Linked DNA regions of Saccharomyces cerevisiae S288C. The protein of the gene in region 1 purifies or fractionates together with the protein of each later gene. This does not show direct contact. Each region holds a gene or a part of one and is shown on either strand. Other genes may lie near its edges. The genes, in order: HEK2 and NAB6.

What was found.
Region 2: the proteins of HEK2 (region 1) and NAB6 purify together in Saccharomyces cerevisiae (affinity purification with mass spectrometry, with the first as the bait; 2 studies listed by BioGRID). This does not show direct contact.

Annotation. Positions count from the first base shown.
Region 1 is NC_001134.8:158,295-162,031, reverse strand, and holds HEK2 (Hek2p), read right to left. Parts: upstream 1,849-3,737; coding exon 703-1,848; downstream 1-702. Other genes in the region: SHE1 (She1p), read right to left, coding at 1-333; RIB1 (GTP cyclohydrolase II), read left to right, coding at 2,339-3,376; STU1 (Stu1p), read left to right, coding at 3,643-3,737. UniProt on the Saccharomyces cerevisiae protein: RNA-binding protein involved in the correct localization of transcripts in the cell. RNA localization is a widespread mechanism for achieving localized protein synthesis.
Region 2 is NC_001145.3:32,199-38,148, forward strand, and holds NAB6 (Nab6p), read left to right. Parts: upstream 1-2,044; coding exon 2,045-5,449; downstream 5,450-5,950. Other genes in the region: NGL3 (3'-5' poly(A) RNA exonuclease), read left to right, coding at 136-1,653. UniProt on the Saccharomyces cerevisiae protein: RNA-binding protein that associates with mRNAs encoding cell wall proteins.

The DNA.
Region 1 (3,737 bases):
ATGTGTGTCTAGCGACTCCATCTGGCCAAATTGAGAGTCGTGCTTTGCTTGGAAGAACTCATTAATATTATACGAGCCCGATTTTGGTTCATTGTTCTTGTCGCCGTTGTATTGTTGTTCGGATTGATCTTTTAAAAATTCAAATTTTGAGCTAGCTCTAGAATCCAGTTCACTTAATACAGAATTTCCTAATCTTTTGGAAACGCCAATAGTCTCGATGATATTGCTATTGTTATTTGAATGAAAGTCTATACTCATATGCGGCGGCGTGAAACCATTAATTTGTGAAGTGGTGTCTTTTTCGTTATGCTCTTCTTGGAGTTTATCATTCATCCATGAAGATAATATGTGTTCTAGAGCTGTAATTGCATGTTTATTGTTTATTTGTTTATACCATTGCCTAGAAACTTACGATTTTTTCATGTTATTTTCCCCTTCCCTCTCTGTGCCTCTAGCCGGCGATGCGCGAAATGTTTAAAGCAAGAATTTCGATAGTAATAAAGAAAATACAACGGCTTTATTGAGTATTTATAAAACGTTTTTTTTTAATTCAAAATACATATACATGAATAAATATATACATATTGAATCATTTTTTTCCCTTTAATAAAAATACAGTTTAAACTAGTAATGATGCAACATTATTCGTTAAGATGATAGTTTGTTTTGTCTGTGTGGGACGTGCGCACGCACACGTATATACTACGACTGCTCCTCTTTGTTATCATGATTCTCTTGAGGTTCTTCCTTCTCTTCCAAGAAAGAAGCAGAATCAGAGCGTTCAGTAACAACAGTGGCATCTCCTTCGGCAGCTTCCAATTTTCTCTTGTAGTTTTCACGTTTCTCAATTTCAGTATTCAGGTTCTTCAAAAGCATGGACTCAGCAAGTTTGACATTCTTAGGAAATTTACTTGTGATTATGAATTTTCTAAAATTTTCGTCTTTATCATCGTCATCCTTCCTTTCCACGACAATATTGGTTTTTGTGAAAGTTTTCAAATTCTTAATTCTGTTCATTCCACGGCCAATAATGGCGCCTACATACAGTTCTGGAATCTTCAATTCGATCCTAGTGTTAGATGAGGTAGAAGGGGAAGTTGGCTCACCGGAGGACTTTTTCAGATGAGGGAAATAAGATCTTTCTGTGCTGAATCTGACGTCAACGTCACTCAAGATGATCTCGCTAATTTCGATAAGTACATTGGTGATGGATCCTGGGAAACCCTGGATCTCGATAATTCTCTCGTCGCTAGCAGGTAAGAAGTCCTTGGAAGCCACGATCTTAACGCCGTGCTTATTGATCAGGGACTTGATGGTGGCGCCTGCTTTCCCGATAATCGATGAGATATGGGAATTGGCCACAATGAGCCTCACATAACCGATGTCCTCCAGTTGCTGCAGATCTCTGATCTCGTCCTTTGAGGGAGCTGGTAAAATATGGTTCAAAAAGTGGAAGTAGTAGTGCTCTTCCGCTTCGCCCTCAGCTGCGTCCTCATTTTCGGGATTCCGTTTGTTAAGCACGTCAACAATATCACCAATGGCATTGGCCACATTGATTACGTTCCCAGCACAGGACAGGATCCTGTCAGAGCAACCGGGCACCTTTTCAGAAATACCGATCTTGACGGCGTTTGCAGCTCTTATGCGTGAGATGGTGGAGCCCTTAGTGCCAATGATCTTGGCAGCCTCTTTCAATGACAGCAAAAGCCTGTGATTGATGGTGGGTTGAGCGGTGGTGCCAACAACGGGGGCGCCGCCAGTGGCGGCGCTGCCGGCATCACTGGAGCCGCCGTTGGTATTGTTTGTGGGAATTGCAACGGGAGTAGCAGCTTCGAAGAACTGTGACATGGCTGGTATATATACTAATGCTGTCTCTAAGTTACCCGATAAGTTGATGCTTTGTTGTACAGGGGACGCGCGATAGGAGTGGGGAGCAATATGCTTTTACTTCGTATGCCAAGTAGTTATATATGCTCGGGTACTTATGCTCCAGATTATAGTCTTGTTTGTTGTTTGGCTGAGCGGCCGGACACACAGAAAAAAAACAAAAGGGCTTTCGTTAAAAGGGATAGGGTAATGTCTAGACTTAGCATAGGGCTAAAACAGAAATAGTAGGGTCTATACCGTTTTTGAAAACAAGTTGTGTAGGGTGAGACTTTTTCTTTTTCCTTTGAGTTTTTCTTTTTCTTTTTACGATTTGTCAGAAATTAGTCGGACGCTCTTGTGGGGTGAGCGCCAGCGCCGCTATAGTATATATAAAGAAGTTGCTGTGCTGGCGTGGACAATAATTGAGTCATTACAAAAAGTGGCGTACATAAAACTACAACAAACCTACAGGATGACCATAGATAACTACGACAACAGTAAACAGGATAGCAGCAAATACGAGGTTAGTGGTACGGGTGATGGCAGGAACGGCGATGGCGGCTTGCCTCTAGTACAATGTGTCGCAAGAGCTCGTATCCCAACCACACAGGGTCCGGATATCTTTTTACATCTTTACAGTAACAACAGGGACAACAAGGAACATCTAGCCATTGTGTTTGGTGAAGACATACGGTCGCGCTCGCTATTCCGTAGAAGACAGTGCGAGACGCAACAAGATAGAATGATCAGGGGCGCTTATATTGGCAAACTGTATCCCGGCAGAACTGTGGCAGACGAAGACGATAGACTCGGATTAGCTCTGGAGTTTGATGATAGTACAGGTGAGTTATTAGCTTCCAAAGCCACTACATGGGACGCCCATAACGACACGCTGGTACGGATCCATTCTGAATGTTACACCGGTGAAAACGCATGGAGCGCCCGTTGTGATTGTGGTGAACAATTCGATAGGGCCGGTAGGCTTATCGCTTGCGACCACGAACCCACAAGCAACATCAAAGGTGGAAACGGCCATGGTGTTATCGTGTATCTAAGACAAGAGGGTCGTGGCATCGGGTTAGGTGAGAAACTCAAGGCCTACAACCTGCAAGACTTAGGTGCTGACACAGTGCAGGCCAACTTAATGCTGAAACATCCCGTGGATGCTAGGGACTTCTCGCTGGGTAAGGCTATTTTGCTGGATCTTGGCATCGGTAATGTCAGGCTGCTGACAAATAACCCGGAAAAGATAAAACAGGTAGATCATGCGCCTTACCTTAAGTGCGTTGAACGAGTGCCTATGGTACCCATACACTGGACAAACTCCAGTGAAGGCATAGACTCCAAGGAGATAGAAGGTTATCTCAGGACCAAGATAGAAAGAATGGGTCATTTACTAACGGAGCCTCTGAAACTTCATACAAACCCTCAACCTACTGAGACAAGTGAAGCCCAAAACCAAAACCGTATGAACTCTGCGTTGTCATCAACATCGACGCTGGCAATATAAACACAAGTGTAGCATAATTATTAGTACATATAGTGCTTTTTTTGTAATGAAACGAAAATACCATGTTATTTTAATGCGTTACCCCGTCGGCGCGTATTGGCGCATTAACATCTTTATAGAAAATCAAATTATTTACTTATTTATTCTAAAACGCTAAACATCTATTTATTTACATTTGAGGTTGAAACTTCCCTTCATCCGATTGACAGGCATATTTAGCGGTAATTATTAGGGTTTTTGGAGAGACCTTGTATTCTTCAGAAATAATGTCGTCCTTCAACAATGAGACCAATAATAACAGCAACACTAATACACATCCAGACGATTCCTTCCCTTTGTATACCGTATTCAAGGACGAGTC
Region 2 (5,950 bases), on another chromosome or scaffold:
ATCACAATAGTTATACCAAACTAACACATGGTTGAAGCAGACTACTTACTATCGTGGAGTTAGCTCACTGAAAATTTAATATTTACAGCATTAAACAGTTTTTTCTTTTGTTTTGTCTCCTACATTAATTTCAATATGGATAGCCAAGTAGAAGGCAAAATATCCCCCTCACAGAAGGAGTCCTCCTCCACCTCAGGCCTCGTTTCACCTAGTGAAGATGGCCCAGCACATCAAAAAATACACAGAGACCAATTAAGTGTGGATCAAATCAAGAAAATCAGAGAAGAACGTGCTCAGAAGAGACAGGTACGTAGGAACTCTCTAATATCCCAAGGGAAGGACCCTGACTTCCCAACGCCTGACTTACAATTCATTGAAAGACCATTCCTCCCTATCAACCATGATAATTCGAAAGGTCTTACGCCAGCGACCATACAAGTCACCCAAGATTCATTGGACGTTAAAATAATGACCTATAATACTCTAGCACAAACCTTGATTAGGAGAGATTTTTTCCCAGAAAGTGGACCAGCGTTAAAGTGGCATAAGAGATCAAAAGTTTTGGTCCACGAATTGAAAAAGTACAGGCCTGATGTAGTATCGTTGCAGGAGGTCGATTACAATGAACTCAACTTCTGGCAGGAGAATTTCCATAAGTTAGGGTTTGATGTGATTTTCAAAAGGCATGAAGGGAAAACTCATGGACTACTAGTTGCATGGAACAATAAAAAATTCCAGTTAGATAATGATTGGATGCTGGACTACGATAATATATTGGCGGGAAATGTCATTTCAGCAAGAACAAGAACTAAAAATATTGCCCTTATTATATCGCTATATTTCAAGGGTATAACAGATTCATCATCAAGAGGAATTATCGTCGCAAATACACACCTATTTTGGCATCCCTTTGGGGTATTTGAAAGATTAAGGCAATCTTACTTGGTTTTACAAAAGATCCAGGAAATTAAAGCATGTTCCAAATATAATGGCTGGCATAGCCTACTGATGGGTGATTTCAATACCGAACCTGAAGAGCCACCGTACTTGGCCATAACGAAAAGACCACTGATATTAAAAGGCCCAATAAGAGCTATGGTGGAATGCTCACTAGCGTATCGGTATTCAAAAAAAAGGAATGGAGAAGAAAGTGACCAGGATGATGAAGAGTGTGATGAAAAGTCTAGGGGCGAAGGCCATTCAGATCAACCACAAAACCCAAAACCAGAGAGCTTTACAGCCACAAAGGAAGAAAAGGCTCTGGTAAATCAATTAGTTGCGTTGCATAATTCACTACATGTGAAAGGCGTATCTTTGTATGGGATTGGCTACGGTAAAGTGCATCCTGAAAATGCTAACGGAAGCCACGGCGAACCGGGACTCTCAAACTGGGCCAATACATGGTGTGGATTATTAGACTACATATTTTATATCGAGGGTGATCATAATCAGGACACGCGTCAGAAAGAGCCTCTGAATGCTTTTGAAGGAAATAACAACGTAAAAATAATCGGATATCTGAGGATGCCGTGCGCACAAGAAATGCCCAAACACTCCCAACCTTTCGAGGGAGAATATGCTAGTGATCACATTTCCCTAATGTGCCAAATACGCTTGTTTTTTGGGGGGGAGAAAGTGCATAGCTTAAAATAAAGAAACAATATATATAAACAACCTACATTTGTGTTTGAAAGACAGTAATCAACGCTTCGATGGTCACTGGGATTTTTCTTTCAATTTAGCGTCACTTTCACCTTATTCACAGCTTTTACGTGCTATTTTTGGTCACCCTTCCCCTTTCGTTGCGCCTCAACGGGCTAAAAAAAAAAAAATAAAATCAAGCATAGAAACACCACAACAAACCTGCCCTTTTTCCTTGTTTCAGGTTACGTGAAAAGCATCCAGAGAAGATATCCCAAAGACTGAAGAGGTGTAGTTGGCTCATTCACGTCGTTCGTTTATATTATCAAGGAAGGGGTTTTTGATCGGCTCGAACAAGACTCGCAAGAATCCGTTTTCTATTGTTTTTTTTGAGGATTCCAATATGTCAAATTCCAATTCAAAAAAACCTGTTGCGAATTACGCATACCGTCAACAGCAAGATTATAATGGGATGAACGCCATGGTGGGAAATCCAATGATGTATCATCCTGTTGATTTCGTAAACGGTGCCGGCCAATATGGTCCTTCTCAACACCCAGCATATTACACCAACTCACCATTACCTAATATTCCACCAACACCTTTTGATACTGCATACGGTGCCAGTCTTTTTCCATCTCACCTATTGATGGGATCTCCATTTGTTTCCTCGCCTAACATGCAAAGTGGCTATAATTCTGCAAGATCATCTAATCTCAAAAGAAAGGCTTATTCGAGGCCCGTTTCTAATCATAACGGTTACAACGGAAACAGTAACAGTAACCAAAACAATACTAATAACGGAATGGTAACACCCTCGAACTATTATAGAATGGGGAGAAATTCTTTCTCGAGGAACAACAACAGTACGAGGAATGTTACTCACAACAACAATAAGGGGTGCGACACCCGGAACAACAGTGGAAGAAGAACATTCGCAAGGAATAACATTTTCGACGACATACTTCCAGAAATGCTTTTACAAAGACCCTTTTGTATTAATTACAAGGTTCTACCGACTGGTGATGATGCTTATAGAACTAGGTCGCTGCTTATTGAAAATGTGGATCATTCTATTGATTTACACTCTATAGTCAAAAATTTTGTCAAATCCAATACTCTGGAAAGTGCCTACTTAATTGAAGGAGGGAAGAGCGATGATTCAAAAGATGTAGAGACTAAAAATCTATCCATTCTAATAAGCTTTCTAACCAAAGGCGACTGTTTGAACTTTTACAATAACATTTTACAAAGGTTATCTGAATTCAAAACATTTTTGAAATCTGAAGCACTAAATCTGAAATTTGTTTGTCTAAACTATGATCCCAAATGCCTCCCTACCTTTATTGAGAGTGAAGCGTTAACAGAAAACGCTGAAGAAGCCGACATTACCAATGGTTCAACAATGATCAGTGCTTCGCTGCATCATAATATAGCGAACAAAGATGCTACAAGGTCGATTATAATTGAATTCAAAAGCCCCGTGGAGAAAAGCGATTTATTCAAAAAGAAATTACAATTTTTGGACAGGTCAAAAAACAAAAGATACATTTTGGAATCTATCGATTTAGTGAACACAGATGTACCTTCCAATCAATTTCCTGAAAATTACGCCGTTTTAACCTTTTTGAATATCTCTATGGCTATTGAAGTTCTCGATTATTTGAAAAAATACTCCAAAAACTTAGGCATTTCTAAATGTTTTTACGTATCCCTAGCCCCGTTGGTAGTTAGCTCAGCCAGATCTTCGGTTGCTAATATTTACGAGGGTAAAACGAGCACACATCGTTTATCGGTGCCTTCTGTTACTGCTGGGAACAATAACGATAGCAACAACAACGGAAACAATAATAAAAGTAATATGAGTGGTATCACCACACTCAATAATAATAGTAGTATTGGTGTTTCCGTATACGGTCACTCTAATATGAGTTTAACCAGTCTGTCATCATCTGTATCTTTAAATGAAGAGATTGATATGCTTGCGACGAAACTTCAAGGGGTAGAACTTGATGGGACTTATTTAGAAATCAACTATCGCGACTATCAAACACCAACTATTGAAGAACACTCTACTCACTTGAGCAATGTCAAAATTTCAAAGACAACAGAAAACTCTAGGCAATTTTCTCAAGATATCCCATCACCTTTGCCATTAAATGAACATATGTTTATGAATGATTCTAATCAGTCCAATGGAGCGATAATACCTCAACAGTTAATAGCCACACCTTCTCCGGTATCCCCCAATTTGCAAATGAATCAAAGGGTGTTGCCGAATCCAATAACTCAAAGTTTGGAGCAAAATTTCAACGTTTCGGCCAAAGTGGCATCATCCATGGGTTCAGACATAGGCAATAGAACAATTTATATAGGAAACATTAATCCAAGATCAAAGGCGGAGGATATCTGTAATGTCGTGCGTGGAGGAATCCTTCAGAGCATTAAGTACATACCGGAGAAGAAGATATGCTTTGTTACTTTCATCGAAGCTCCATCCGCTGTACAGTTCTATGCAAATTCATTTATTGATCCAATAGTGTTACATGGGAATATGTTGAGAGTTGGATGGGGGCATTATTCTGGTCCATTACCGAAATTAATCTCGTTGGCTGTTACGATCGGGGCAAGTAGGAATGTCTACGTAAGCCTACCAGAGTTTGCATTTAAGGAAAAGTTTATTCACGACCCTCAGTACAAAAAATTGCATGAAACACTATCTTTACCAGATGCGGAACAACTAAGAGAGGACTTTAGTACCTATGGTGATATTGAGCAGATTAACTATTTGAGTGATAGCCATTGCTGTTGGATAAATTTCATGAATATATCTTCTGCGATTAGTCTTGTTGAAGAAATGAATAAGGAATCCACAGTACAAAATGAATCCGGTGAAGTGACGCTTAAAAGGGCGACTGAGGAAAAATTCGGTGGCCGTTATAAGGGCCTTCTGATAAACTACGGCAAAGATCGTTGTGGCAATATAAACAAAAATTTGATAGCAGGTAAAAATTCAAGATTCTATAAGAAAGTTAAAAGACCGAGCTATAATATACGTTTGAGTAAGTTGGAAGAAAAGAGGAGGCAGAATGAAATCGATGAAAAGGAAAAGGCTTTTGATAAACCCTTGAACTTGGAATCCCTAGGAATTAGTCTGGACGCACATAAGGACAACGGCGGTGGTGAAACAGGAACTGCAAATAATACTGGGCATGAAAATGAAAGTGAACTAGAGGCTGAAAATGAAAACGGTAATGAGACTGGAAGTTTCGGTGGACTGGGTCTCGCTGTGGCGAGCTCTGACGTCAAACGTGCGACATCGGATGAAACTGATTATGAAGATATATTTAACAAGTCATCGGGATCTTCCGACTCGTCATCAGACGTCGAGGTCATTATGCACTCCCCGAGCGATCCTGAATACGCTTTAAAATCACAAACTCTAAGAAGCTCGAGTCAGACCGTCATTAATAGTAAGAGACCAGTAAAGATAGAAGACGAGGAAGAAGCCGTAGGAATGTCACAGCTCAATTATAGGTCGTCATTAAGACAAGCTCCTCCAAGAGCTCCCTCAACTTTGTCATATAATCACTCGAAGAACAACGAAACGCCAATGCAAGATATTTTCACAAATGGCGAAACAGCAAATAACAGAAAGAAGAAGAGAGGATCTTTTGCAAGGCATAGAACGATACCAGGATCTGACGTCATGGCCCAATACCTTGCACAAGTGCAACATTCGACATTTATGTATGCAGCCAATATTTTGGGCGCCTCTGCGGAAGACAACACGCATCCTGACGAGTAGTATAGCTGTGCTGAGCCTGAAGTATAATGCATATCCATCGGACTATTTAGACAAAGCCCAAGGAAGCCTAAGGCGGCCTGCCAAGGTGTTTCTCCCTTTTTTTCTCCGATTTCTTTGTATAAACTAAATAATATAGTGATTACTAATGGAATGGCGGTATTATGCACCTAACCTGTTCATTCTGCCACAGATTACGTAAGCGATTTATTGCCGGCACTTGTTGTCTTAATGACCGAGTCACCAATGTGGAACGATAATTTTCTCTGACTCAAACCTGTTAATTTTTTTCTACTTCGTTTCGTTAGCGACGACGTCAAGCCGCAGGATCCTGTCTGCCTTGACCTCTTCTCTACCTTCAGAACTTACACTTTTCAGGTAAGATGACCTTTATATAAAAGTTGACACTATTACAGTTGTTTATAAACGTCTGAAGAATGAGACGTTTTTATAAAATGAATAAAATGCATATTCTAAGTTTAAAACAACATTTTCAAAGTGTAC